Linked DNA regions of Tamandua tetradactyla. The main gene of each other region encodes a partner of the protein of the gene in region 2 in a complex. Links are inferred from orthologs where the notes say so. Each region holds a gene or a part of one and is shown on either strand. Other genes may lie near its edges.

What was found.
Region 1: the proteins of CAPZA2 (region 2) and S100B are in contact, whole or in part, in a crystal structure (PDB 3RM1), measured with the Bos taurus proteins. The link is inferred for Tamandua tetradactyla from reciprocal best matches to the Homo sapiens genes CAPZA2 and S100B. Residues at the interface, in NP_001013016.1 of Bos taurus: Thr267, Lys268, Ile269, Trp271, Ile274, Leu275; in NP_001029727.1 of Bos taurus: Ile37, His43, Phe44, Leu45, Glu46, Ile48, Lys56, Val57, Thr60, Phe77, Met80, Ile81, Ala84, Cys85, Phe88.

What each region holds. Positions count from the first base shown.
Region 1 is NC_135336.1:109,045,413-109,060,439, forward strand, and holds the start of S100B (protein S100-B), read right to left. Parts: upstream 6,491-15,027; 5' UTR 6,282-6,490; intron 1,819-6,281; 5' UTR 1,818-1,818; coding exon 1,680-1,817; intron 1-1,679. UniProt on the Homo sapiens protein: Small zinc- and- and calcium-binding protein that is highly expressed in astrocytes and constitutes one of the most abundant soluble proteins in brain.
Region 2 is NC_135327.1:156,399,456-156,414,727, forward strand, and holds the start of CAPZA2 (F-actin-capping protein subunit alpha-2), read left to right. Parts: upstream 1-8,096; 5' UTR 8,097-8,217; coding exon 8,218-8,256; intron 8,257-15,272. UniProt on the Homo sapiens protein: F-actin-capping proteins bind in a Ca(2+)-independent manner to the fast growing ends of actin filaments (barbed end) thereby blocking the exchange of subunits at these ends.

The DNA.
Region 1 (15,027 bases), on a different chromosome or scaffold from region 2:
GGGGAGTTGGGTGGGACCTGTGAGCATCTGCTAAAAAATGGATGGGAGAAGTGCATTAATTTAAATTATGTTATTGATTTGCCTCCAAACTGAAATTACCTCGATAAAACCAGGCCAGCAAGTGTTCTTGATGCTTTACCATGAGTTATTTCTCTTTTATAAATTATGCTTTCAGGATACTGAACTATTGTACATTTTAAATCAATAATTATAGTAGTACCGACTACCTGTTGAGCTTTTAGTATATGTCAAGCATGTGACAAACACCGTCTCATTTCATCTTCACGATAACCATATTTGCAGAAGAGATTGGAGCTTTTAAATTGCTAAAAGACTCATTATGCATTGTAGGGCAGCTGCCATACTCTGAACTTCAATACCTGAGGAAACCAGTTCCAGAAACTGAGACTTGGGGTGCCCCCAGCAAGCCTGTTCCCTCGTGTTTAGGAGGGGACAGGGACAGTCGAACCCCAGCCAGCCCCCCAAATGGCACGTCGACCTTGCTGCTGGTACCTAGGGCTTGTTGTCCTGCAGAGAGCCCTGAATCGGGTAGCTTGAGGATGTCTCCCGTTACTGGGTAGCCCCCCTGCTGTCTTCTGCCGATTTGTACTTGGTCAGACCCTTGCATACTGACCCATTGCCTGACATTTCTTCTGTGTCTATTGAGTCTCTTCACGGACCCAGGAAATCTCTCACTGGCAGGAAACATGTCTCACCTGTCTATACTGCAAGTACTTCAGTCTGGCTCAAAGCATGTTATGGATCAGCCTTGGTTTGGAGCACTAAGGGAATATCAATTCCCAGGTAGGTTACAGTTCATGGCAAGGGTGTGAGGCTGGAGAGCAGCAGACGCTGGTGTGGGGGTGAAGGAGTGGTAGCCGACTGGCGGCAGCAGAGACCATCTGTGTAGGGGAGTGAGTCCCTCAGAGTAGCAGAGTAGGTGTGTGGACACAATTTCACTGCACACCAGAATGCAAAGTACCTAGGGGCAGGGCAGGTCTCCGTGGGAATGCTCCATCAGCTTCCCAAGTTAAGGGACAAAACCCAAAGTCCCTTCTTCGGTGAAGCCTCCTGAAAGGCTCCGGAGCTCACGTGGGGCACCCGGGCCTCTGATGTCCTCAGTCAAGTATGTCGCTGCCATTCATTGATGTGCCCAAAGGCAGAGGCTGGTCAGTGGGGTCTCTGTCCTGGTGGTATTGGACACAATCAGTGCTCTATAAACATTTGCCAAGCAAATGTTTCTATCTTTTATCACCATGGTGTCTGTTGAACATGCAGCAGAAGCCAAAATATGTCCTTTTCCCATAAACAAAAGCTTATTTTTAATAGTTTTCTCATGTTCGCTGTGGCTTATAAGTTATATTTTCCATCCCATTCTACCATCATCAGTCTAACCTTAGGTTTTCAGAAAAAGATCAGCATTAGTTGAGGCCTATCTTTTTGCCTTTGAGACCGCGATTTTTCCTTGATGCACCTACTGTGTACAGGACAGAGGACAGCAAAGCAAAAACAGTGGTGCTGCTCCAGGCTACCACCATGACGAGGGCACATTTTCATAAACAAGTTTTTGGAGGGAACTGAGATCACCTTCAGGGAAGCTCAGATGAGAAAGTCTACGAGGTGGATTTATAAGTAGGAAAAGCATGGGTAGACTATTGATTTTTAAAAGCTAGACCCACCTCTAAAAAATGGGAAAGCTCGTTGTTGATGAGCTCCTTGAGTTCGGACTTCTTCAGCTTGTGCTTGTCGCCCTCTCTTCCAGAATGTTGATGGAAAACATCAATGAGGGTCACCACGGCCTTCTCCAGCTCAGACATCCTAGGGGCCCACAAAGGAAAAGTGCTGTCTTCACACTTTTTGCCTTGTCTGCACACAAAACATTTCATGTACTGCCCACACAGCCCCCCCACATGAAGATCTCGGTTCCCATCTTTGGGTCGCCACAGCTAACGGGTAGGGGGTCGCCGCAGCTGGTGGGTGCGGCCCCGGAGGACATCTAGGAATTTGCAGGGGCTGCGGTTCCCCCTCTGTCTCTTCACCTGCCTCCCCTCCCCTTCCTGTTCTGCCCTTATAGGCCACCTCCGTAGGTTCCTGGGCACTCAGACTTCAGCTCTGGGTGGGGCATTGGGGGACTAAAGCAGGAATTCAGAGGCAGAGCCGCGAGAAAGGTTGAGGACTGATTCCAGCTTCCTGCCTGGGGGCCACACCTTGCAGGCTCCAAGACTGAGGGTTAGCGTGCAGGTGAGCAGGACATCAGCGCAAGCCGTGAGAGCTGTAAGAAAGCTGCACGGCAGCTAGGGGCAAGATGAGGACACAAAAGTCAGTAGCTTCCTATATTCTGCCATCAGACAATTGAAAAATAAAGTCGTAGAAGCCTATTCATCTAACAGTGCACACATGTATAATCTCAGAATAAATTTAGCAAGAAAAATATGCATCCTTCCATAGGAGTCTAAGGGACATAAAATGTAGGCTCCTTCTTTCCCCTGAGTTAATATATAAATTTAAATCATCTTAAATAAAAATTTCAATGGGATGTTTTCAATGGACAATGAATAGGACCAAAACCAGCTGTAAAACTCATCTGTAAAAATAAACTGGGTGGAAATGCCTCGAGATTTTTGCAAAAGAATAATAAGGGGCACTTCGACCTACTAGAAATGAAAATACCTTTGTAAGATAGCATGGCCAACCTGAGTGGGCCTGATGCAGGAGCAGAGAGTGCAGCAGGAGGCTGAGGCCCAGCCCAGTGTCTTGCATGCATGCGGGGCCCTTTCAAGTGGAGGGGACGGCAGATTATTCACGAATGGGCTGGACAAGTGTTGGGCTAAGTGTTTCTCTGAAGATGTCAAAGTCAGAAACTTCCTACCTTGCTAACACCATGTACCTTCCACCATGGCCTGCTAACACAGGGAATATCTGTGCAATTCTGGGAGCGTGGCACATTTTACAAAGGAAGGCGTGTCAATTGTCTCCCAAAACTTTTTCGACTCAGGCAGAGAAATTTAACAACTTTTGAGCGTGCATTCTATCAAATCAAGTAAGAATGTTTTGTAGTCATAATTAAAATGACATAAAATCTCATTAGAAAATCACTTGTGATTTGAGTACATCACTGTGTTGAATACATCACTTCTTAGAAACATTGCAATGAAAGGTTTAAATTTTTATTGAATTCTCATCCCTCGGAGGAAAGAGGACTACAGTTATTCTGTCTTGGTCTTATCTTTCTGTGGAAAGATCAGGAATCTGATCTAGGAATGCTGTTGGTCTTTGTGTCCTCATTTTGCCCCTAGTTGCTGTGCAGCTTTCTCATCAGCTCTCGCAGCTTCCACTGATGGAGCATTGCACAGGCACGGGGTGGCCTCCCGAGGAGAAAGCAACCCAGAGGAAGCAGCGGTGAGCTTATTTGATTGTGGCTTTCCTGTCAAAGTCACTATTGAGAACCACTGTGCTGTGTTTTGTTCTTTTAAATTGCTAAAATCAGAAATATATAGAAAGAATAATTCAGATGCATTAAAAATATTTAACATTTTGTACTTAACTATTCTTTATAAGACCCAGGTTTTCAATAACTGATCTTTTTAAAGAAAACAAAAAACCCACATTTTCATTATCCTAATGTTTTTAGAATCCATGATGATTTGGAGAAGGGGATAAGTAATTTTTCTGTAAAGTATGAATAGTGAGATTTTTGAAAAGGAAACGGTGTTCCGAGAGATGAGCCAGGACCCGGCATCGTGGGATTGAGGAAGTTTTCTGGACCAAAGGGGGAAGAGAGAAATAAAACAAAATAAAGTTTCAGTGGCTGAGAGATCTCAAACAGAGTTGAGAGGTTATTCTTCCCTATTATATAGATACCCCTTTTTAGTTTATGGTGTATTGGAGTGGCTGGAGGGAAGTACTTGAAACTGTTGCTCTGTGTTCCAGTAGCTTGATTCTTAAAGACAATTGTATAACAATGCATCTTTTACAATGTGACCATGTAATTGTGAAAACCTTGTGTCTTATGCTCCTTTTATCCAGGGTATGGACAGATGAATAAAAAATTAAGGATAAATACAAGGGGGGAATAAAGGGTGAAAAATTGCACAGATTGAAATACTACTGGTCAATGAGAGGGAGGGGTAAGGGGTATGGAATGTATGAGTTTTTTCTTCTAATATCTTCTTCTGTAGTGATGCAAATGTACTAAAAGTGATCATGGTGAAGAACACACAACTGTGTGGTGACACAGTGAGCCTGATTGTGTAATATGGTTGGACTGTATGTGGGTATTTCTCAATAAAATGTAAGTGAAATACAGATAATAGGTAGAGCAAGATCCCAGAGAAACTGAGACAGCATGGACTCGTGAGCACACATGGAGCGATTAATCAGAGGTGGTAAAGATTTCTTTCTCTGAAATGGGTAAGAGGTGAGTAAAAGTAAAGATGCAGAGAAATATTAAGATATAGAGAAAGGAAATTGAAAGACTGAAGAATTGGATGGCTTTGATCTTCTCAGTAAAATGAGAGAAGAAAGAAGTTAGCTGCTACGAGTTGGTGATTGGGGCATAGGGTCGGTTTGGAAATTTGAGAATGGAAAATGACTGGAGCAGCTGCTGTAAGGAATGCATATAAAGTTAAGAGGAGACAGCTAAAAGGATTACTCAGTAGCCGTGAAAATCCAGTTGAGGTTAGAGAGTATGAATTTGTAACAAAGCCAATCAGTACGGTTTCTGGACTTTCTCCAGTTATGCTGTAGCCTCTGAAGTCATCTAGTCATCATCTTGGTGAGAGTTTCCTTAGAGTGTCTTCAGAGACATCCCAGTATTCAAAAACTTTAGGAAAAAAATTATTTCTTAAGGGGATTAGTGCTCAGGAGTACCAGGGAACAGATTTCCTTGTGGATACTTCCATCTGTGGGTCCTTTTTGGGGAGAATCATCAGGAATGAAAAAGAAACAGACTTAAGAGAAGCAAAGCAGTTCGGTATATCAAGAAGAGCTTTAACTTCTTCGTTTTTGAGACATAAATCTGAGGTGGGAGCATGTTTGAGAGCATCTGGATGAGACAGAAGAGCAGAAGAGAATGACATCAGTGCAGTTCCACTGTAGACTGCCTCGCCAGGCAGAGGAAATAGATAAACCCTTCCTGATACATATTACAAAACTGGGCTGGATTTGGAGAGTGTGGTAATTTCAGCCATCAAGACATAAGCTCAAAGCGAAAAAGCAGGACACTTGGTAAGTTATTTCTCTTTTTCCTGTTTATGTTTTTCTCATCATCAAAGAAACACATGCTTTGCAGAAGATACAGAAGTAAAGTGCAATAGAGAAGAAACAACCCATAAGCTTACCACCCATATAACCTCACCATGAAAATACTTGATAATTATTTCTAGTCTTCTTATGCATTGTTGTTTTTACATAGCAGAGATTATGCTAAGTATAGATTTGTATAACCTGCTAGGTTTTTTTGTTTTGTTTCAAATTTAAGCCTTTTCTCATGTCATTAAAAACCCGCATAGTGGGGGACAAATGATGATTTTAAGAGGAATTGAAATTATGTATCTATGTTTCCTTCTCACTCCATTTTATGAATGTTCTGCATTAATCTTTTCATATTAGAAAAGAGAAGTTTTGGAGTTCAGCTGTTCTGAGAGGCACAGTTATATAGTCCGTCTGGTGTGGGGGTCTTCAGGAGCAGCTCTCCTCCTGGAGGAATTGCAACACTGCACAGAGTGAAACCCCACCATAGACCCTCCTTTCTTTGATCCTGTTCATAATTTATTTGCAAAGTGTTTCTCCGTTGTCATGTAGTTTCTGGCATTTCAAATGGATGGAAACCAGAAAACCAAGAAGCAACTTCCTACCCCAGGCTCTGAAAGTAGTGACCAGGAGGCGGGAGATGAATCGATTATGGTGCGAGGCTCCGTGCTTCTCAGTCCCAGAGGGAAGAAAAGCCCTGCACCTCGAAGAGTTAAAGAAGCAGCAGCATTTGTAGTTCCTCTGGGAAGATATCACCAGTCACTTAGAGTCATTAAACTGGAGATTTCTCTGATTTGCAGTCTTAGAGCACAGGCAGCAAGCCCTCCTGCAGTCTAGCGTGGATGTCATCAGATGTCCACAAAGCAGTAATAAGCTCGACTGCAGAGTTCAGATTAAAACCTGGAGGGCCAGTGACACGTTTACAGCTCTGCCGGTTATCCTAAGGGGCCTCCTAGCCACCACCCAGCCCCCTGCTCCCAGCTCGCACCCCTGCTCCCATCTCCTCTGGGGCTGCCTACTCCTGTTCTCACCTCCTGCTGCTGTCGTCGGGCTGCGGGTGTTCTGAGCGACAGGCGCGCTGGGGACGGGAGCCTCCCTCTCTCCTTCCTTCTCCCAGGCTGAAGAGCTGCGGCCCCCTTGCAGTCCCACTGCAGGCAGCGGCAGCCAATGGGGCCACAGGCAGGGCGGGGGCGGGGAGCTGACCAGTGCACACTGGGCTGCGTGGACCAAGCGCATGCCCTGAACCCGGGCAAAGCAGGAAAAGACCTGGGGGCAGGAAGTGGGGAGTCAGCGTTCGTGCTTTTTATTTATTACATGAATATCGATGTTCCTCTAAAGCCAGGGTGGGGAGTGGAGAGAGAGCTGGATTAATGGATTCAGACAAAGCAAATGTACAGCCAAGTGCAAGAAGCTTCCAAGCACGGGCCGTGTGCAGGAGATAAAGTGGTTCATGGGCTAGTTTCCAATGGTGAGGACCACTGAGTTCCTGTCATCTCCGCCAGCTTCCCAGGCCAGCTTGCCTGGCTTCCGCTTGCCTGCAAGGCCCCGTGGAACTTGGTTCTGGAAGGGGCAGCTGCCCTGGCTGTGTGGTATAACAGACACTCGATAGTTTTAAGGAAAACCCTTGTTTTATATAGTTGAAGACACATCAGTTGCACCCCAAGGTCGCTCCCTTTACCCTGGGGTGAAAGGTCACAGCTTGCCAGAGTTGGGTGGTGCCTGGGAAATGCCCTGTCCAAATACTCTGTTTTGAAGACGAGGCCCAGGGAAAGTGAAGGCCAAGCCCCCTGTCTCCCTTCAGCTCACGCCTATTTCCAGCTGCACCGACCTGAGCCTCCAAGAGGAGGCTTTGATCTGATGAGACATCCCAAAGATGCACAGAAATGGTAATGGAAAATGTGCAGATCAGCAAAGTATTTTAGAATTGATGCTTCAGAAGTTATTTGTCGGTCTGAGCATAGCCTTTGTAACCAGCGAGACCTCCCTGTTCACCACCAGCCAGCCCATAGGTCTTCCCTTCCTTAACAGAGAAACAAGGGAGCCAGCATCCCCGGCTTGATCTGAGGCTAAGGCAGACCTATCCTGGTGAGGAGGCCAGCCTTGGCTTTGCTTATCTGGTGTAAATTTCCCTTTGTCCCTCACTTTCAGCTCAGTAAGTGTGTGGAGCTAAACAACAAGGGCAGGTGTGCCTCTCTGTTCCACACTTGCCCTTCAGTGCCTGCTGTGGTGCCGGGAGGACCCTGCCAGCATTTCTACCTGCCAGTGGCTGCTGGCAGGACATGACTGGGGATGGGATGCCATCCTCTGCTTCTCCCCCTGGGCTGGGCTGTTGTACTTCTGCTTCTGTCCCTGGCCTGCTCCATGTTGGCCCATCATGCTGATGTGTGAGGTCATCTGGTCTGCTCTACCCCAGCCCTAGGCCTGGTGGCCACCGCCCTGTGGCTTTCCTACGGCAACGCTGTGAACAGCTCACATCCATGGGGCATCGCCAGCCCCCGCCACATACACACACACACCTGCCGACCAACCTTGACTCACCTGAGCATCAGAGACTCCCTGATGTGGACACCACTTGCTCCCGACATCATGCCTGTAGATATGCCACAGCTCCCTCTGCAAACCTGTCTACCAGCCTCAGTTCACCTGAAGGCCAGAGAGTTTTCCTGCTCACCAGCGACTAGACCAGCTCTGGCACAGGAAAATTCTCTGCCCATCTGGGGGGCTGGAGTTACACCTTCCCCATCAAGGTCTGAATCCAAGCTTGGGGAGGGAGGAGATGCTCTTCCAGGTTTACCCCTCCCTGAGTGCTCGCCTTCAGCCCTAGGTCCCCCTTTAGAATTCTCTTCACATATTTATAGTCACTCTCCTATCATAGTTTAATAATTCTTTTTATTTACCCTGCCCTATGTAAATCCTGTGTAGTTTCTGTCTCCTGTCTGAACTGGAACTGACACAGAATTGATCTTAAAGTGGTCTCAGGAGATAGTCCAAAATCACGAAATTTAGGGAATGGTTGGCTTCTTGCTAACAGACACCTGGATGCCAGCACACCATGGTGCTGACAGACAACTCACTGAGTTGTGCCTTGTGGGTCCTGGTGAGGTACCGATGGAAGCACATGCCAGGGGAGCCCAGGTGCTGCTCTCCTTGGCCATTATGGAAGTAAAGGACTGTGGTATGGAATGGAGTTTTTCAGGGCACTTGGGTGCTTGCAGAGGGAACATGACAAGCTCAAGATGCAGTCTCGGAACCAGGAAGCACCATGCCATCCCTACGCAGGGCTGATACTGCTGAAAAACCAAACAGAAAATCTAATTATAAAATAGAAGAAAAAAAACAACAGCAACAAAAAAAAGAGAGAGAGAGAGAAAAAATCTAATTACAGGTGGGCCACGGTGGCTCAGTGGCAGAGTTCTCGCCTGCCATGCCGGAGACCTGGGTTTGATTCCCGGTGCCTGCCCATGAAAAATAAATAAATAAAACATATAGTTATATGAGTTGCTAAATTACATTTTCTCATGTGAAAATGAGGGCATTGATTGGGAAAGAATAGGATTTTGACACTTGGGATGGGCGCATCTTGTACTTAGATGAAACTGAAAATCTTGACCTCCCCAAAGTCATCCTGAGACTCCCTTACCATTGGAAGTAGGTTTCCCTCTGGTGTCTGAGTAGACCAGCCTTTCTCTGCCTGACATCCCCGTGATGACCTCGCCTGGGGTGCCTGGAAAGGGGTTACTCACACACTTCAAGAGAACAGCCACCACCTGCTATCCCTAGAGCCATTGCTAGGGTGAATCTTACCATGTTCCAGGAGCAGTACATACTGTGATCCAGGAAGCAACCACTTACACACCAGAATAATTGGGGAACATGTATAGGACTGAGTTCCGAGTGCTACTATGCTAAGGAGGGTGGACTATATCACTGTCTAGGACTAAATTCATTGACATGGGAACACTTGCTAGAGATTCCAGATTAGATGTGCTAGCTCGTGCAGCCGGAGCAGACTCTAGCAGTTCCTTTGGTTGGCTGACTGAAATGTAGGGACATCTGTAGTAAGCCTTCCTGAACATTCTGTACTCCTTAATCGTCGATTGCCCAATCTCTGTCCTCGTTCTTCCCTTGATAATCTGTGCTGTCGAATTCAATTTTCAGAGTTTCCTCATTATAGTTAGCCCATGTTTGTGAGGACTGACAGCATTTGTCCCCTCATTTTTTACTTATTTCACTCCACATAATTCCTCAAGGCTCCGTTACCTAGCTGCCTGTCTCCTGACCTCAGTCCTTCTTGTCACCCATTGTATGTCTACGCCACAGTGTGCCCTTCCCTCGTCCATTGCTGTACTCTTTATTGTGACAGGGCCCCCTCTGTAAGAGGCTGAGATCTGTGGTTGTCGTGGCCACCTTGTGTCCATCATGACCGCGGCCCAGACTGCAGGCCCCCCTTGGACCATGTTCTTTCACTCCATTCCGGGTGGGGCAGGCCTGGTATAGCTGGGCTTTTTGTTAGGTTGTTTCAATTGAGATATGAGCCACCCATACAAGGTGCTTCTTAATCCTTTATTGAAGCTGAGAAGTAAAATTAAGAGATGCTCACAGTTAAAGCCCCAGAGAGGCTGCGAGTCAAGGGCACACCCGGAGATGGGTGACTGAGAGGAGGCCAGTGCAGCCAGGGCCTGGGAGCCACCAACCTGGGAGAGAAGGACCTACAGATGCCCTGTGTATCGTCAGCAGCCCATCTTCGTCCTGTTGTTGCCTTTGTTCGGATATTTTTAGGGCCTTAGAATTGTAATTTCTCAGGTAATAAATCCCCATTGTTAAAAGCCAGTCCATTTTTTAATATATTGCATTTCATCAGCTTCAACAAGCTGAAACAACGAGCATGATGTTAAGCTTTGCTGGTAGAGGGTGTTGGAAGAACATTGCGGGAGGAAGAGGACTTGGGGTTCTGGGGTAGTGTGTTTTGCTTTGTCTGCCTCGCAGCTCTTCAGCAGTGCCTTGTCTGGGTGCAGCCAGTGCTCTGCCCCAGCCCCATGCCCAGAGAGGGCAGCACTTGGTGGCCTGACAGACTGACCTTGGCCTGATGACCACCTTGGTCTGCCTCCCCTGATGTGGACACTGTGTGCTCCAAAATTTGCACATTCATCAACTCCCCAACTCCTTTTGCACATCCACCCAACCTTGACTTGCATGTGTGGGAAGGCTTTTCCCACAGCAACCTGGTGTGGTACCTGCATTGCTCATGCACACACCTTCAGTGTGACCCCGACTCCCGCTGTGTGCCCTGGGACCAGCTGTGGAGCCTCTGGAGCAAAGGGTCTGAAATTTTACCCTCCCTGCATGCTGACAGGGTAGCAGTTATGATGTCAGCCATAGACATGAGACTCGTGAATTGGACGCAGAGGGTTTTATTACTGAAAAGTGGTAGCCATCACTTCATGTTCCTGCAGGTTGTCCTTTGCCCCCGAGTGCATGGTCAGGTGCCCTGTGCCCAGTACAGTGGCTGCTTTCCAGCACAGGAGCACCGATTTCAGGGAATTCCCTGCATCCAGAGTGAAGCCCACTGTAGGTCCTCATTGGTTATGGTTGCTCACTGTGAATACAGCCCCAACACGTGGCCTGGGTGGCATGCAGGGACAGTTTTGTGTGTCGTGGACCACATCCCAACAGCATCCGTCCCGCTTGCCCACTGGCTGTCCAGCGTTGGCCCTCTCCCTCAGCCCTCAGGCACCCTTTAGGTTTCTCTTTACTTCTTTGTGGTTGCTGTTAAAGCGTAGTTTTATAATTCCTTATTTTTAACCTTCTCCTGTTTAAATTACGATGTCCTGACTGCACCCAGACTGATGTACTAGGTAAAACAAAAAATAAAAAGGTTTAGTAAATTTTTGTAACTCTTTGCTGGACTAAAATTATTTCAATAAAATTTTATGTAAAAGAGATACTATCTGTAAATAATAAACTTAGAGAAATGACAATACAGAGAGAAACAATCGCACCAATACCTGAATCAGTAATTACTTCTGATTATGGAAAATGCCCAAACTGATGTAACAAGACATGGTCCATATGAACATGCTGTGCATAAGAACGAGCAGCCAGTGACACTTAGAGAGGCAGTGTGCCAACTAGGCACGCCAGGTGGTTCCTGAGGTTTGGAAACAAGGACCTGCTGGGCATGGCACCTGGAAAGGACACCCCAAAAGAGCTCCGGGGCTTTGCTGTCTCCACAGCCAAGAGCCTCCACCTGGCTCATGGCTGTTGCATTGTGGAGAAATGCCCAGCATTTCAACCTGCAAAATATGGGGTGACATTGGCACAGAGGTTAGGAAGTCCCAGCCATGCTGTGTGCTCCCTGCATGATCTCCAGCTAACGATGAGCATTCCCTGAATGGAAGAGGGATGGGGGATGATGCAGCATTCAGGTTCCCCAAGAGTGGGGATCCCAGCATTTGTCAAGATGAGGCAAGGGCTTCCCTTTCCAGGAAGCTGGGATTGGAAGTGCCGGCGGGTTAATAGGCACCTCTTCACAGATGCACTTGTCACTCAGCAAGTCCTCTCTTTAGTCCACCACTCACCCATCCGGCAAATCCTTAGCACCAGTTAACTAGGTGACTAGCTCCAGGCCTAACCAAGTCTGCTGACGGGGCAGGAAGAGGTTATTCTGGTTTGAGGAAAGGAAAGGCCGTGCACACTGGCGTTGCTCTCCTGGGGCACCCAGCACTACCTGCTCACAAGGCTCGGTTACAGCGGCCGACGTCGTGGGGAGAGAAGGAGGCTTGTGTGCTGCAGGACGTGGGTGGCATTCATCACAGCCGCGGAGAGGGACAAACAGCTTCTGTTGTAGCTGATGTGATGACAATTATTTGTCTTTCCTGTTCTGAGAAATACTGCCAACAGCCAGCAGGAGGCCTGGGGCCAGGGCACCTGGCTGCGGGTTCCCATTCCACCATCTCAGATTTTTCCTTCTAGCTGCTCCCAAACGCTGGAGACTAGAAGGAATATTAGCATAGTGACTCAGCAACCATAGTCAATAAACCCCATTTTCTCTGTTATACCTCCTTCTCCTTTTATCTTTCTCCTAGTCTATACAGATCTTCGGACAATGCCCGTTCTGATTTTCTCGTGTTGAGAAGGGATGTCAACACTAAAGGATAGGGGAACATAATTACTTGATAATCTTGGTCCCTCTGAGTTTCAGGATTTATCTGACCTAGGAACCCTCTGGGAATTACAGGTTTCAGGAAAGCAAATGTAGTGCATGGAACCATGATAGAGTCTCAGTTTGAGCCCTAGCTGTTCTTGAGAGTCAACAGAAGGGATTTTGGTTGGGGTTTTTAGCAAACCATGGCAATCAGCACTATCTAACTGAAGCTTGTCTAAGAGTATTCTCCAGAATAGCCTCTTGGCTCCATTTGATCCCTCTAGGCCACTGATGCCTTATTTCATTTCACTTCTTTTCCCCCTTTTGGTCAGTAAGGCATTCTTGATCTCACAGTGCCAGGACCAGACTTATCCCCAGGAGTATGCCCCACATTGTCAGGGAGATTTTCACCCCTGAATGGTTTATACCATGTAGCAGGGAGGGCAACGATTTTAGTTGCAGAGTTGGGCTTAGAGAGAGAGCACCCACATCTGAGCAACAAAAGAGGCTTCCTGGAAGCAACTCTTAGGCCTTGTTAGAGGTAGTCTTAGATTCCCCCTACAGAAATAAGTTTCATGAGGACAAGCCTCAAAATTAAGGACTTAACCTATGTTCTTGGGAGTCCCTAGTGGTTGAGAAGGTACCCAGGGCCTCCCTAATGGGAAAGTTTAATAGTTCATATTTTTTTCCTTTGGACCCCCAAGGGTCTTTCCTATATAATACTAATAATTTTTAACTATCAGCCCACCATAGTCTGAGATGCATACCGGTATTACATTAAGCTACACAGAATTACAAGACCTCGTTCCCATTCTGGATTCCAGGAGTTTGGGTTGTGTAAATGAGCTCTCCAGGCAGGTTGATTTAAATTGTGTGTTACAGAAAATTTAGGTTCAATGCATAATAAACCTCTCTGCCTTTGGTGCCGTACAGTAGCTGGAGGTCTAGAGTGCGCACACTGTCATCTTTACCCTGTGTTCTGATTTACCTTAGACCCAGCCAGATTGGCTTTGTGTTTCTCTCTAATTGAGGCCTGATCTCTTTTTTGGTTATTTTAACTCTTATTATATATCGCTATGCTAACTTTCAGGTCTGTAGCTCTCCATTCTGAGTCCTAGGTGTCACAGGGCAATGCCAGCTGATACACATATAGCTCAGTGTCTCAGAATCTAGAAATACACTTAAAACTTCAGACTAAGTGTGACTGCTATAAGAGTTTACAATCTAGGCTCCAGTTTTCTTATGAGTATTTTCTGAAAGAAATCTTAGCATATGTGTTCTTTTGTTTCTGGCTTATTTTGCACAACACCTTGTTGCCAAGGTTTATTCAGTTCACTGGGTGCCCCTCGATGTCCCTCCTCTTTGTAGCTATGTTCCATCACATAAATATATCACCATCTAATGTATCAATGTTTTCACTCATTGCACCCTGCAGCTCCCAAAATTTAAAACTCATTCATGTGTACTACATGAAGTGCATAGTAGTACACGACAGGCTCAATTAGTGGTTGTTAGCATAATGAAATTGCTTCTCTTGCCTATCAAAATAACCTAGAACTGTCAGGTGAGCTGCTGGTGCATGAGTCCGATGTTTGAAGCTAAGAGCAGCAAACAACAGATGCACAGTGATCGCTTTCTGAGCCAGACCATCAGGGTCCAAACACAGAATGAACCCATAGGCTAATTCAGAATACTTTGAATCCAGGAGGCCCTGTCTGTAATTCATGGATATCACACGTTTTATTATTTTTGCACCACATCAAATACCATGAATGCATCTGGTTGCAAAACAGCCATTCCAGAGCCCAGAAGGACGGGCACAACAGGCAGAGGGCACAGTGGGCAGCGGGCACAGTGGGCACAGTGCTGGAGGGCAGCAGTCCTGTTGTGCAACAGTCGGGGCTGCTCAAGAAAGTGGCCTTTGTTTTTGTTTTTTCCTTTTTCTACTTTTTCTTCCCTTAATGCTGAGAAGGAACTGGAATTTGGAACAGAGAGAGAACTCCCCTAACAAAGCCATTTTTCACAGCACTTGCTGCGTGTGCTGAGGTTCTTTGCCCAAGAAATGTGTCTCTGTGAGCTGGGGTTTTATTAGAACTAAAACCGTGCAGGTTGCCCTTCCAGGGCTCTACTTCTGCACATAGTTATTTCCATTATGTTTTTCATACCTTTAAATAACTCTTAGACATTTGCCATAAAATTATGCCAAGTTTAAAGGTACAACAAATGCCTGGTTTAGCCTATTTGTTTTGCTTCCTCAATGGGAGTATTTTTAATTTAACCACTATGCAAGCTTCACAAGTTTTTGTGGCTTTGTCCTATCCTTCAGAACGTTCTGGATGCAGGACATCACACAGCATCCAGTCACAATAGGCCAGTGAGACAACTCATCAGGAGGAGTAACTGTTAGAATTATTTAAACAATGAAGGTTCGTGCACCTTGATTTTTAAAATGCCTCTACAGAATTGAACCATTTCTGACAGGAATGATCCCGGTGGTGAGAATGACTTAATTTATTTTAGAGAATCAGATTAAGAATGTACCAAACAAAACAGAGAATTTGAAAGATAGGAACATGTAAATCTGGAAGTCTAATCCCTAATAGTTTTCCTACCACAGGGTAGAATTTTTTTTT
Region 2 (15,272 bases):
AGAAAAGCTATGAGTCCTCCCATAAATATCTGCTTCATTCCTGTCCCAGTGTTTCACTCATCCTGCTTTCTCTGACATTTCTCTATTCTACTAATCCACAAATATTGTCTTCCAAGTAAATTTAGTGTGCCTACCCCCAGGAAGCCATTCTAGCCACAGCCCACCGCCCTCTGGTCCCTCAGTAACTGAATACCTCTATTTTACCATCCCTGAATTCTCTGCTTATAGAAACGCTTTCGAAATTACGCTTGTTAGCATCTTTTTCTATTACTCTTAAGTTTCCTAAATTTGCTTGTGCAATGTTGGCAACTTGCTCCATTAATTACTTATTGAATGAATGATGATCTGTGTATATTTGTAAGACATCATTATGTATGAGCTCAGGAAGCCCAGTGGATCTTATTTCAGTCTGTCATTCCAAAAAAAAATTGAAGTGATAAAATACATATAATGATACACATAAAGGGTACATCAAGGATGAATGATCCATTAACTAAACATTACTCTGTATGTGTGCGTGTGGAGGGGGTGGATGTATATCCATGTGTGAGACTTGGCTCATTCTATTTATTTGTTTTTCCAACTCCTTTAAGCTTAAATGTGTCAAAATGCATTCTTCATTTCCGGTCATTAAACTAATGTTATAGCAAGGTCCCTCTGCAAGGGGTGCCTTGGCAACATCAATTTTAATGAAGCCTCACAGGAGATTCTAATGTGCCTAAGAGCTGAGAACCACTAATATAACTTTTTTGGGGGTGCTTAAACTAAGCACTTCCAAGTTACAATGCAGGAGAGATCCTTAAACAAGGATTTAAGCCAATGCTACCCTACAGAAATATAATACAAGACACAATGTAAGCCTGTACAGGTATCAAAAACTTCCACAACTTCAGACAACAGCTTCTGACACCAACTATAATGGTATCAGCAATTTATCAACTGCAAAGGGCTGCCAAGCACTCAGTCAATTCAATTCTGAATTCCAGAATTCCAGATTCCCAGATTCCATAGGTTAAAAGCAGTTGTCTGCCCTCCAGGTATCAGTCACAAATGAGGAGACGCAGGCCACTGGCACCTCTGACCAACTGGCTAAAAACTTAGAGATTCCCTCTCACCCCCTCAGTGATAATTTGCCAGAAGAATTCACAGAACTTGCTGAAAGTGCTACACTTATGGGGTTATAGTTTTATTATAGTAAACGGCTACAAATAAAAAGAAGCCAAAAGAAAAGATGTACAATTGGGTGTGTCACATCTCTGTGGGGATAATCTAATCAAAATATTCCAACCTACAGTATTGAATCCAGATTAAAAGAAACTGTTCCTCCCACAAGTTTGGATCAGGATTAAAACATGGTTTTCTCGGGCTTTTCAAACCAGCATAGAGTGACTAGAGGGAAGTACCTGAAACTATTGAACTGTGTTCCAGTAGCCTTGATTCTTGAAGAAGACTGTATAACTATATAGCTTTTATAATGTGACTGTGACTGACGTTCCTTCTATCTATGGTATGGACAGATGAGTAAAAAAAAAAGGATAAAGAAATGATAGGGGGAGATAAAGGCCAAAAATTGGGTGGATTGAAATACTGTGGGTCAATGAGAGGGAGGGGTAAGGAGTATGGAATGTATGAGTTCTTTTTATTTCTTTTTCTGGAGTGATGCAAATGTTCTAAAAATGATCATGGTGAAGAATACACAACTATGTGATGATCCTGCAAGCCATTGATTGTATAATATGGTTGGACTGTATGTGTGTGGCTATTTCTCAATAAAATAAAACACATCAAAAAAGAAAAAAAAGAAAAGATACGGCAAGGTTTGGGAGGATCTCAGGCACACGCTTCTGTGTCCTCTCCCGTGGAATCAAAACTCTGGAACAGAGATATGTTTTCTCAGTCATGGCAGCTCTTCAGATATCCGATATCCCGAGTTTCTGTGGACTCTTACTACGTAGGCAAGATTAATATAATCAATGTCCACTTGGTTGAACAAATCTGCAGCCTCCCTCCCCTTCCAGAAGTTGGGGAGGTGGTCTGATATAAAAAGCCTCAATCCCCTAATGCACTGTTGGTCTTTCTGGTGGGGCCAAAACCACCCTAAGACTGCAGCTGTGTCTGGCCTCACCCTATCGTCTGGTTAGCATGAGCTATCAGGTGTGGTCCTAGACCCACCAAGAAGAACAAAAGACACTCCTATCACAGGAAATTCCAAAGATGCAGAGGTTGCTTCCCTGGGAACTGAAGACAAAGAACAGCCAAGCTTTTCATTATACTGCAAAGCCACATATATAATTATAAATTTTCCAGTAGCCACATCAAAAATGTAAGAAGAGACAGGTGAAAATACTTTTAATATAGTTTTATTAATTCAATATTTCATATATTATAATTTCAACATATAATCAATATAAAATATTATCGATAGCTTTTAAATTCTTTTTTCTTAGTAAGTCCTCAAAATATAGTGTGTGTGTATTTTACACTTAGGCATATTCTCAATTTGGAGTAGCCATGTTTCAAGTGTTCAATATCTAGTCTTACTATATCGTAGCAGCATAGCTGTAAGCTAGGTACTTACAATGTCCTTTTGTAACCCTAACTTTAATACCTAATTCTATCATATCCAGTCATATCTGAAAGGCCAGCAGGACAGGTTTCAGGAATCTCTTTTCTTGAGGAACCAATTCTATATGATTTCAATCCAACAAATATAAACATAGTACATGATGGTCCTTATTCTTAATGACGAAACATAACTATCAATATAATATAGTCTCTAACCCAAAGAGCTTGTAAGAAATACAGTTATGATAGTGTTCATGGGAAAAAACACATATCAAAACAAGAATCAATATATGCAAACTTTTGTGAGAACAGTGGCTAATCATCGTTATTGGTTTCCTATTGCTGATGCAATAAATTGCCACAAATCTAGTGGCTTTAAATGACACAAATTTATCATCTTACGGTTCTGGAGTTCAGAAATCCAAAATGGGTTTCACTAAGCTAAAATCAAAGTATCAGCAAAGCTATTTCCCTTCCATTTTCTTGCCTTCTCTGGTTTTTAGGGACCATCCACATTCCTTGCCCCATTTTTAAAGCCAACAATGGCCAGTTGATTTTTTCTCACATCACATCATGTTCCAACCCAGCTCCTGGGTCAGGGCAGCCCAAAGACCAAAGGATACATCAGGCATGGAGTTAGACATGAATTTTATTAGGACTTACGAACAGGAGAGGATCTTCCACAGTGGTGGCTGGCCGTGGAAAATGAAGGTTAGTGCTCTGCAAAAGGTGGGAGTGCCAAAACACTGCTTATAAGGGTTCAGGACAAAGAAATTTCATACGGTATGACACAGTTTCAACAGGGTCACGTGACACAGGGGCTTGGAGTTTTGTTATCAGTAGTCATCAGGGGAGGGGAGTTTCAATGCCTTGTTTACCACACTATCTGTACATTCTTTCCCCTGAGGATGTCTGATGACCTTTAATGTCTGTCCCAGCCATGTAGGCCACTATGTGTAATGACCTGCTCTCAATATGTAGGGGAATCCCTAGCCCTCGATCCCCACACATCACTCTGACATTGACTCTTCTGCCTTCCTCTTCCACATTTAAGGACCTTGTAATCACATTGGCTCACCCACCTAATTTAAAATAATTTCCCTATTTAAATGTCAGTTCACCAGCAACCTTAATTCCATCTGCTATCTTAATTCCCCTTCGCCATGATTCTGACATATTCCCAGGTTCCAGGAATTAGGACATGGACATCTTTGGGAGGCCATTATTCTGTTGACCATAACCTTGAAAGGAAGGAAAAATTCTGACTCCAGAGTAATACCCATTATACCCAACCCCAACCCACGTCTACGGAAAGAAGCTATGGTCAAGATCAAGTCTCTATAAGAAAATGAGAATATAAGGCATTTTCTACTCCCACTTAGTTTCCATTTCCCCTTCTTTTAGCCACACACCCCAATTTTCCTTCCAAAAAGAGCCCTGAAAGAGGCATAAGAGAGAATCATGCATAAGTAGCTGTTCTAGTATACAAGCTGCCAGAATGTGATACACCAGAAAAAGAATGGCTTTTAAAAAGGGGAATACATTAAGTTGCAAGTTTACATTTCTAAGGCTGTGAAAATTCCAAATTAAAGCAAGTCTATAGAAATGTCCAATCCAAGGCATCCAGGGAAAGATACCATGGTTTAAGAGGGCTGATGATGTTTAGGGTTTCTCTCTCAACTGGAAAGGCATATGGCGAAAATGGCAACATCTTCTAACTTTCCCTCCAGGCTTCTTGTTTCATGAAGCTCGCCCAGGGGCATTTTCCTTCTCCCTCTCCAAAGGTCTCTGGCTGTTTGGACCCTCAAGCTTTTTCCAAAATGGTTCTCCCTTAAAGGGCTCCAGTAAGCAACCTCACCTTGAATGGGCGGAGACACATCTCCATGGAAACCATCTAATCAAAAGTTACCACCCACAATTGTGTGGGTCACATCTCCATGGATAATCAAAAAAGCTCCCACCCAGCAATACTGAATAAGGATCAAAAGGACATGGCTTTTTTGGGGTACACAACAGATTCAAACCAGCACAGTAGCTTTGTGTGTTCCACTGGCATGTGCATATGAGACAGTGGCCAAGGTTTGTTTTCAAGGTTGGTAGGAACAAACTATAAAGGAAATATATTCAGGTGAAGGAGATGCTTCAGTAATTCTTGGTAGCTCTAGAGTAATTCATGTCATAACTTCTCCAGGGGTGGCACTTAGCAGGGACCTTTTCAAAACTAACTGAGGAAATGGACAAAAGTAAGACACACTTACTCAAATATAAGGAACCAATAGTTCAAGCAATTATTTTATTTAGAAAGACAATTGTTTTTCAAATATGCATGATTTTTTCACACCTCTCCACTGCTATAAAAGACATTATTTGACATAATAATGTCATGTCAACGTGAGCATGATAGTAACAAACAACCAGATATCAGTTGTCTAACACCAGTAATTTTTTTCAGAAGTCAAAATTTTAAACTGAAGGTATTAGTTTTCCAGTGCAGATATTGAACTAAATAGTGTCTTACAGATGTTTGTATCTTGTGTAACCATTTAATGGTCAGTCAACATTACCTATTGGGTACCTATCATCTTATATATTACATTATTATTTGTATTACATGTTTCCATTATATGATGAAAAAGAAACATGAGTCTTACCGTCAGGACACTAGGGTTCAAAATAATATCCACTAGACGTGTGATTTTGGTCAAGATATTTAATTTATCTGAGGCTCAATTTGCTGGCCTAAAGATAAGAGGGTGGTACTAGATGAACCCAAAGAATGTGATTCTAGGAAATTAGGTAACCTCTGACCTTGGAGAGCTTTAAACCTACTTGAGGACATAGAGCACATCCATAGGAAAAGAGATCAAAACAGTTACAAGTAAGTTAAAAATAATCACTGCCAAAGGAAGAACTTAAAAAAAAAATCAGATTCTGGTGCTGTTAATTGGGAAGACTAAGATCACTTTGTTAATCAATAAAAGAAAGGTGAGTTTCGAAAATTAAATGAGAAAAAGGTAGGTAACGCTCACTCAGTATGTAAAATTGAGCATGGGAAGAATATTTGTTTCTTTTTTCATCACCAAAAAGTGCTAATTTTCAAAAATGCCAGTGCAATTTCTTTTCAAAGTCTTATAAAGGTCATTCTATATTTATGCCCACTAAATGTAACTGCCTGAAATCTTTCCAGGATTCCTGAGTTACTTGAATTCTATAATTCCTCTTGAACTCTATCAAGAGGGTGACATCGAGAGGTTACTGAAAAGATGATTAGAAATCATACATACTTGCTGGCTGTGTCACCATGGGGAACCATGTAAAGTATCACCAAGGTTACCACTATAAACATGACTCAAATTATTGAGAAACACTACCAGATTTGGGTGAGGTTTTTAAAGGAAGAGAATGGCCAATTAATGAAGCAACAATGTTTACTGAGTATACATTTGTACAGATTATTGATATAAGGGGTTGCTAAGTAAACAGAAAAAAACCTGAAATTAAAAAAAAAAACAAAAAAACCCAGAAGTACTGTTGAAGTAGAAGGTGGCAGATGAATAGAACTGATAATGTGATAGAATAATCTAATTGGGGAAGAGTGCCCAGATTTTAAAGAGGGAGAAAGAAAATTCTTGCAGTGGAAATAAAATGAAAGATAGAATAAGATGCCTGGATTCTATCCCAGTTCTGCCACTTGGAGCTGTGCAACCTTGGACAAATCGTCTAGCCTCAGTTTTCTGCAAAACGGGTATTAATGCTGAATAATCAATGAAAATAAAACACTTTTAATGCTGAATAATCAATGAAAACAATGCCTTGCAAACTGTAAAACAGTAAACGTCATTTATTTACATCCAGTGATGTCCCTGGCCAAACTGCATGGCTTATGCTCTTTCACTTCTCTCTACCTTTTAGCCTCAACAGGATGCCTGCTTTTTTTTCCTGCAGATGTCAGCATTTTTTCTTTTCCTGTTCTTTGCCCAGACTGTAAACCTCTCAATATTATGGCCCCTGTTTGCTTTGCATTTACAAGTAATATTCATACTATGAACACTCCGTAAATTACTTAATAGTAGCGTCTTGTATCTGTACAGTTATTTGAACTCTTTAACGTATTCTCATGCAGCTGTCAGATTCATCTTGCTAGGCTATTTCTGATCAAGTCATACCAGTTCACAAAAGTTACCAACAGCTTTTCATTTTCTACTGAATAAAGTTCTAACTTCCATCTAAATTCTAAGGCCTTGCTACTTAAGGTGTGGTCCATGGAGAAGCAACATTGACATCAGCTAGAAGCTTGTTAAAAATGCAAAATCTCGAGTTCAAACACAAAGAATCAGCAACTGCATTTCAAGATTCCCATTTGATTAAGAGGCACTGGAGATGGGCAAACAAGATCCTTAACCCTTTAGCAAGAGCCTCCTTTCCTGCCTTATTTGTTTCAACTTTGATTAAATATACTGAACTTTCAGTTACCTAGAGTTACTTACTAGCTCCCCTACATACTCTAGGATTCCCCTATTTCTTTGTCTTTGCTTATTGTCTCTTGTATTTTGAATCCCTTTTCCCTACAGCACAAGTCTTAATTTTCTCCAGCCTTTAAGGTATAGCTGTTAGCAAAATTATCGTGTCCATGATATAGTCCCTAATCTTGCCCTCTACCAGAAGTGATTTATTCTGAATCTTCCATAGAATTTTATTGGTAGCATTTTGTACTGCTATTATTTGAGTCCACCTTCACTCTCTTGCTAAACTTGAAGCCTCAGGAGCAGAGTTGCCAGATTAAGCCAATAAAATTAAGGATGCACAGTAAAAATTGAATTTCAGAAAAACAATAAATAACTTTTTAGTGTATGTCCCCAATGCTTCATGGGCTATACTTTAAAAATGTTGTTTATCTGAAATTCAAATTTATTGGGTGTCCTGTATTTAATTTGGCAGCCTATTCAGGAGTGTAGGACTCACCTCTAACATAATTTTGTATTCCCTGAGACTACAGTCAGTGCCTTCCCAAATGCTCAGTGTATGTTTGCTTAATGAATAGAAACATTGCAATTCCTTGAGAATAGGGCTTTCTATGGTTTTGTTTAACATTTTATATGCCTAGAGACCAACACAGTACCTGGCACACAATAAAGGAACAATAAATATTTGTTGAATGAATGAAAAAAATAAATGTATTATGAGCAACCTTCCAGTTATGGACCGGGTTGTGCCTATTATTAAAGCTAAATAATCATTAAAAAAAAATAATGCTTAAAAAGTTTCTTTCGTACGCTTTTTCACATTTTGGCTGGCAGAGTTCAGCACTTGAGGGGAACATAATCAAGGGCTCAGAATGTACTCGTTGCAGGATGGGCCCATATGGTCACTGGTGAGGAAAGAAGCCTGCACTCACGAGGCTGACAAGCTTGCAGCAGGCGGCGGTAGGCGTCTCCTTCCCCCTCCCTAGCCTACGAGGCGCCCGCGCATGCGCGACGCTGCGCTCCTTCCCCGCGGGCCGGGTTGAGGGAGGCTGGGCTCCGCGGCGCGTGCGCGGCGGCCTAGGCGCCGGGCTCCTCCCTAGGCGGGGGCGCGCGGCGCGGAGGACTGCACCGAAAGGGGGAAGTCAGGTGGCTGCTGCCGCCGCTACCGCGGTTTGTCGCCAGAAGGAAGATGGCGGATCTGGAGGAGCAGTTGTCTGATGAGGAGAAGGTAGGAGCCGCGGGGGCGACGGAAGCCATCCGTCCAGGAGCCAGCAGAGGCCGGGCCTGTCAGTCCGGAGTCTGGTGGCTGGGCAAGGGCATTGGCCATCGGTCTGTGCCCTCCGTGCCCTTCCTCTCCTCTTTCCTCCCTGCGCTCCTGTGCCTGCCCCTGTCAGTCACTGGAGGCCCCGCGCGGGAGACAGACCTTTGCCTGGCCTGATCGTTCCGCTCCTTCTAGGGTGTGCGCTCCGAAAATAGGAAGCAGGATCCGGGCGGTGGCGGCGGCGCTGGGAGCTGCGGGCGGGTGCGCGGGCGGAGGGCGGCGCCGCCGGGGCTGTGGACCCGGGTGGGAGTCGCGGGGCCCTGGCCTGTGTGGGGACTGCATAGGGGTCTGCGTTCAGACCCAGGAGCGGCCCAAGAGCAGTTCCCAGCCCTACAGCCGGGCCTTACAGAGTAGCGAGGGGTGAAGGCTAAATGGAAAAAAAGTCTCCTACGAAGCAAACCTCCTTTCTCCCTGCTGCCCAAAGCAAATGCTTCCTTTCTGGGCCCTCTGCTATTTTTTTTTTTTTTTTCCTTCCCATTCCCTGTGGAGGTTTATTGTTGGTGTTTTTGTTGTTGTTTGTCTTTTCTTTTCTCTCTCTCTTTTTTTCTTTTCTGCTTTAGCTGTAGCCTTTGCAGCTCCCGTGTTCCCTGGGAGGCAGCGGAGTTGCTCCTAAAAAGATTTCGACACCCCCACCCCCATAGTTGGTTCCTGGCCAGGTTGACGAGAGCCCTCCTAGGGACTGATCTGGTGGCACCCCGTCTTCCTGCTGGTACTTATTCCGAAAGGGAAAGATTCTACTGTGTATGAAATGTGTGACAAATGCAACCAGATGAGCGACTAAGTTCTCAGGCAGACATTTATAATAAGAAATCTGATCATTGAACTAGTTCTCTCATTCACTCTTTGCTTTGGCTACTGTGAGGCCCATTCTCCCAAGTGGGGATGGGGGTGGGAGGGGACTCTAAATTTTGAGTATTGAGAGAATCTTGACGTTTCTCATACCCAGTAGTAGCTGACATAACAGATCAATAAAGTAGTTAGAATTTTCGAAATGTCCGCTTTTATCAATGCTTCATTTTTAAGTTTCGAGGCAGTTAACAGCCATGCAGTTGCATTGTGGTATTTAAGAAATCCTAAAGTAGGGCTAAGGATATTTTCATTTGGAACTCTGCTCCATATGTTTTTATATCTTTGTATCCTTGTGTCGAAATGTAATGTTCTGTCTCCCTTCCGGTGTGAACATGCAGAAGTCTGCCTCATCTTCATTTTTGGAAATCTTTGTTTCTCTGTGCTCTGTGGTGGAAATGATGATCAAACCCAACAAAATGGAGAGACAACAATTCTCCATAATCCTTCATCACTTTGTAGGCAGATCTCTATCCACAGAAGTTGCTGTGCAGGATTCACATTTGTGTCATTGATAAATAGTCATAAGTTGGTAATTGAAAATACACTTATATGCATGTTTCAAGTCATGTAGTGCTAAAATGCTTTTTTTTTTTTTTAAAAGATTGTCACGTTTTTATTTTACTGTTCTTAAGTGGTGCTCAGTAGCTCAAGTGGCTAGAAATCTAGCTGAGGAGAAAGTACTTGGTGTGGGAGTTAATACAGAGCCATGTGTTGCATAGAACTAAACTGCTGAAGTTTTTTGAAAATGAAATGATGAGATTCTTTTATTATCTGACACTTTTAGGGCACTAAGCTCTGTAAAGAGTGGGGTCTTACTCTCTAATCTTACCTAGCACAATATTTTATGAGTAGATGTGTGAAAATTCCAATTTGAAGGAATTTTGTGTTTTTGTTTTTTGTTTTTGAGTTTTGGAAGAATGTTCTGTAGGTATTTCACATATGAATTTTATTATTTTATTTACTAACTTAAGAAAAACACTGTCCAAATTTTTGGGCTAAATTTAAGTAACTGATTGAATGAAAATTTCATTCTTGTTACTTTAAGTTACCTAAATGTCTTTTTATCGGGGAGGAGGTTATGGGTCATAAATGGAGAGGATTTAAAAGTAGTATTTTTGAACTAACCGTTAAATCATGTTACCCTTTCTGCCATCTTGTTTATAATTTTTCATAAATAAAATTTTAATACTTTCAAGCTTTTGGAATTCCCATTATCAATTGCATATATAAGGAAGGGAAGCTAAAATTTATGTAGTGCTGTACAGTAAGCCTGGTTCAGTTAGGCAATACATATATTACTTAATTTGTTGTAATTTTGAGGTAGGTATTATAACTGTTCCATAGATAAGTAAAGTGAAATTTCAAAAGCTTTAATTCTACCCAAAGACGCATAGATAGGAAGTGGCAGAAGTGATGTTTTTAAACCCAAATTTATCTGAGTACGAAGTTTGAGTTTAAGTACTCTCTCCTTAAATGGCATTATGCTGCCTCAAACAGTTGATTATAGGGCCTTCTTTTGGGTTTGTCTCTTGTTTTTAATTTGTTGGCAACATACTTCAAGAAAGGAAAAACAATGATTCTTTTTTGGTTTTAGTAAAAATTTTAAACACTAAAATTAAAGTGTTGCATTCTAAACTTAATTTGTGTTATTATCACTTTAGGGCAAAGTTTATTATTAGCGTATTTTAAAGTTTTATGCTATGTCTTATGGCAGAAAGCATTTTAGAAACTAATCTAGAATAATATCTTTACTTTTTTTCACTCATGCATGTTTGCTTTTCAGTTATACCACAGTGAAATGCAATGTAATCTTTTCATCTTTGATCACTGGATTAATAGGAAATAAGTCTGTGCTGAAGAAGCACAGAGAAGTTCTTTAACATTATTCATTCGCAGTAGCATGTCCCACGGACTTTTTAACATAGTTATAGAAACTTTCGGCCAGAAACAGTTCAAGTTTTCCATTCCTGGTCTAGTTATATTGTACAGAAAAGCATTTTACTAGATTTGAAATTCATAAAATAAAGACCATTACCAGACCTCTCTCTACATGAGAAGATTCAGGAAGTCACTACAAACTCTAAAATGAAGACAGTCATTGGTTGGAAAAGATGTTTTTTTTTTCCTGAAACACCTCCCATGTTCCTCCAGTGACTTGAGTGATGTTCATGTGGCTAGAACATACCTTAAACTTTGTGGAAGTTTCTCAAGTCCATGACTTTAGCTTTAACTTCTCTCTTGAGCACTGGTCACTGAAGACTGTTAATGAGATATGCTTAGGTAGAACCAACTCCTCCACCTTCCCCACCTACAAAAGGGGATAGAAATCTCTCTCTTGCTCATTTTCCTCTTAATTTCTCTATTCCCATTAGCCCTGTTGCTCAGGTTTTTAACTTCAGCTTTACTTTTTTACCCTGTGCCCTGTACTTTACAGTCAGTTTCTAAATTTTGTCACTTCTATCATCAAAATGTCTCTTATACAAGTAATTTATTTCTTGCTTGAAAAGTGAATTCATTTATATTAATATTTGGTTTATTACCTCTAAGTTAACCAGATAATTTTTATTATTTGGTAATCAGTATTTTAGTGTACAAATGGAATGCCAATTGATTGTACTTATTCTGGGATAGCACAGATAAGGAAGAAATAAATTCAAGAGAAGAAAATAAGGTTAAAAAAATGAAGTTCTAGGCTAAATCTTCAAATTTCCTTATCTAAGCCATGCTTTCATTAGCCATTTCTCTGCTCTCAAAACTTTTAGTGGCTGAATCCTCTCCTGCCTTTACAGGGAAACCCAACTCTTGAAAGTGATATTTATGTCTTTGTATTCCATTCTAATCTAGGTAGATTTGTCATTTTAGATGCATACTGTTATTTAATCATGCTGTGAATTCAAAGAGACCTGCATTATAGTGCGTTTCTAGCACTTTGGACAAGTTAATCTCAGCCTCAGTTTCCTCTGAAATGTGTGAATATAATAAGTACCTTTTCCTGTAAGTGGCTCTGAAAATAGATGGTGGTTATTTTTCTCTGCTTCTGACTTTTCATCCACTTTGAGCATTGGTTCTGCTCCTTAGTCTGTCCCTCTTTTTTCAAAGATGAAAATCTTACTCATCTCTCAAGATTTAGCTCAAGTCACACATGGCTAGTTCAGTCTCTCTTCTGAACTCCTATGACACATCATTAGTATTAAATACCAGTCTTGTATGATAGTTGTTTACCTGTTTAGCAAGTACTATCACACCCCCTAATTGTAGGAATAACGTATTCATCATTTTCCTACATGTCATAAGTAGAATGGGTCAGTGAGTAAATAAACAAAAAAATCATAAATTCACAGAATTAAGAGAAACCACAATGGTTTTATGAAAAATACTAGTAGCATATAATGCATGGTAAGTTTTTAAGATAAATTCCAGCAGTCCTAAATTTTTCATTTCTAAATTAAATGTTTCATTTGGTGCTATAGATTTTTAAAATTTAGATAATCAAGTTAAATTCCTGGCATTCTTTGAGGTACAAGAGGTGATATTGGCTAGTGTTGAAATCACTACATAAGCTTAATATTCTTTATAAGCAATTTATATACTTACCCCTCACTATATATGGATAACTGACTTCAGGAATTCTGTTTGTATATAAAAACCTTGTAAGCCACCATTGTAGTCCATCATAATTAATGTAAAATGAGTTTTACATTAAGCTAATAATGAGGAAAATATTCCTAACTTCATTCTGTAGATGAATGAATTCTGTTGTTGTACCAATAAAATGTAAACATTCCTACAGCAAACAGGAACTTGATAGCAGCTGTAACATTGGTGGAATTTTTCAAACTGCACATTATAGCAAATTTGTAGTACCTCTTCAGTGAATTTGGAAACTATTTTTACATAAAATAAGGGTAGTCATATAAATAGAACATTACATTTCAGTGCAAGAACATAGTATGTAGAAACAGAATACAAACTGATTTTTAACTTTGAAAAGCATGATGGGAAAACTTGACCTACAGGTTTTGTGTTTATGACCTAAAATCCGTATCACCTGAAGCAGTCATTTATTGCAAGAAATTTATTTATGTCAAAGAAAATAGGGTCTTGGTCTTCTTAAGACCTCTTTTAACACATTCCATAACTTCCTGTGGCCATTGTCAAAAAATGAGAATTTCACAAATTTTATTTTGAAGTTTAGACCTACAGTCTTTATATATTCTTTCTCTTATGTTGTTTTTTTATATGTTCTATTGTGAATCAAATGGCTGAGAGTTTTTCTTGCACATTTAATTCACGTTGTTTCTTTTGAAAATGAATGAAAATAACTTTTGAAAACCATTTCCTCCACATTCATTCATTCACCACATATACCATATTTCACTGATTCCAGTGCTTATAATTTTCCGTATTGTAAGATCTCTGAATTCAAGATACATTGTACAATCAATGCCTTGTGATACTTAATTGGTAGCATTTTTCCTTAGTGATACACATAATGATGTACCTTGTGTTGTTTGTGAATCAGGATAAGCAAGGATATAATGTATTAACAAAAAAATGTAAAATGTTAGTGGTTAACTCATGTTTCATTAATAGTACAAGGAGATAGTAGGGTGAGGGCTTTGTACTCCATCTCCTCACCCAGTCTCTTCTAGTGTGGCTAAGTAGGAGGGTCATGTTTGGTGCAGTCACAGAGTTCCAAGCTGTTGGAGGGCTTCAGTATAAATTTAAGCTTCCTTCCACAGTCACCACAATCGTCAGGAGGAAATGCAGTGAAGAGCACACTGTTTTGTTTTTTAATTTAATTTTAAGCTGTTTATTAAGTACAATATACTTTCAGGAAAGTACATAAGTCTTAATTGCTCATCTTGATGACTCTCCAAACTGAATGCAATCAGGTAGCCAGTACCCAGATCAAGAAGCAGATTATCATCTCCACCAGCACCACAGACTGCCCTCTAGTTTCCTTCCAGTCACTATCACCCTCCCTCCACCTCAAGCGGAAACATTATCTGGACTTCTACAATGTAGATTTCATTTTGCCAGTTTTTGTTATTTATGTAAATGGAGTCAAGCTATGTTTTAGGTTGAGCCATATGAAAATGTTGATAGTTGACTGTTGACTTCCGCAAATGCAGTTTTGTTTGATTCAACCCCATAAGTTTCCCCCTCACTTAATTTATGTTTGTGAGATTCATTCATATTGTTGTGTATAGATGTAGATCACAACACAGTTTTTCAAGCTCTCCTTCCCCTTTTCCCCAGAGACTAGCATCACCACTGCTCAGATTTCAATTAGCTAAAAGCAAATTACATATATAAACCTAATTTCAAAGGGGTCAGTAAACAAAAAGAGATTTGAAGTATTTGTGAATAGCAGTAATGACACCACAAATTAAGTTTTAGATACACTGACAAATGGTGTTTTGCTCACTCATTTGGTAGACAAAATGCAGAGTTATAGATATAAAGGTGAATTATATGACTTACGTATTATGACATACATACTATACAGGATCAAAAAATGATATGGTCTGGAAATTTGGGAAAAAATTATTTTTGCTCATGGGTACGGAAGTCATTATTTAGGGATCCAGGTTCGTGCCAGGAAACACAACATAGGATTTAAAAACAGGAAAGTAGAAACTAGCAGGGAGTGTGAGTTACATGTAAAGTAAATTCATTTAACCACTTGATAATCAGTTATATCTCAGACACTTTGCAAGTAAAAGGTGGAAAGATAGATTGTGCTGTTAAACTGCTCACTGTCTAGAGCAGGGTTTTTCAGCATTTTTTTGACGTTTTGGGCCTGTTCATTGTAGAATGTTTAGCTACATCCTTGCCCCACTAGATACCAGTAGCAACCCCCATCTCCATCATGACAGTGGTCTCCCCGGGACAAAATTGTTCCCGCTTGAGAACCATGGGTCTTAGATTGATTGGAGCTAAGGAGAATAGTTGGGAACCTAAATTAAGAGTTAAGACCTGATTTAAAGTAATTTTACAAGGAATACAGCAAAAAAGATTGCTAACTGATTTCAGAATTGGAATTAACAGACTGCTGAGTGGATGCGGGG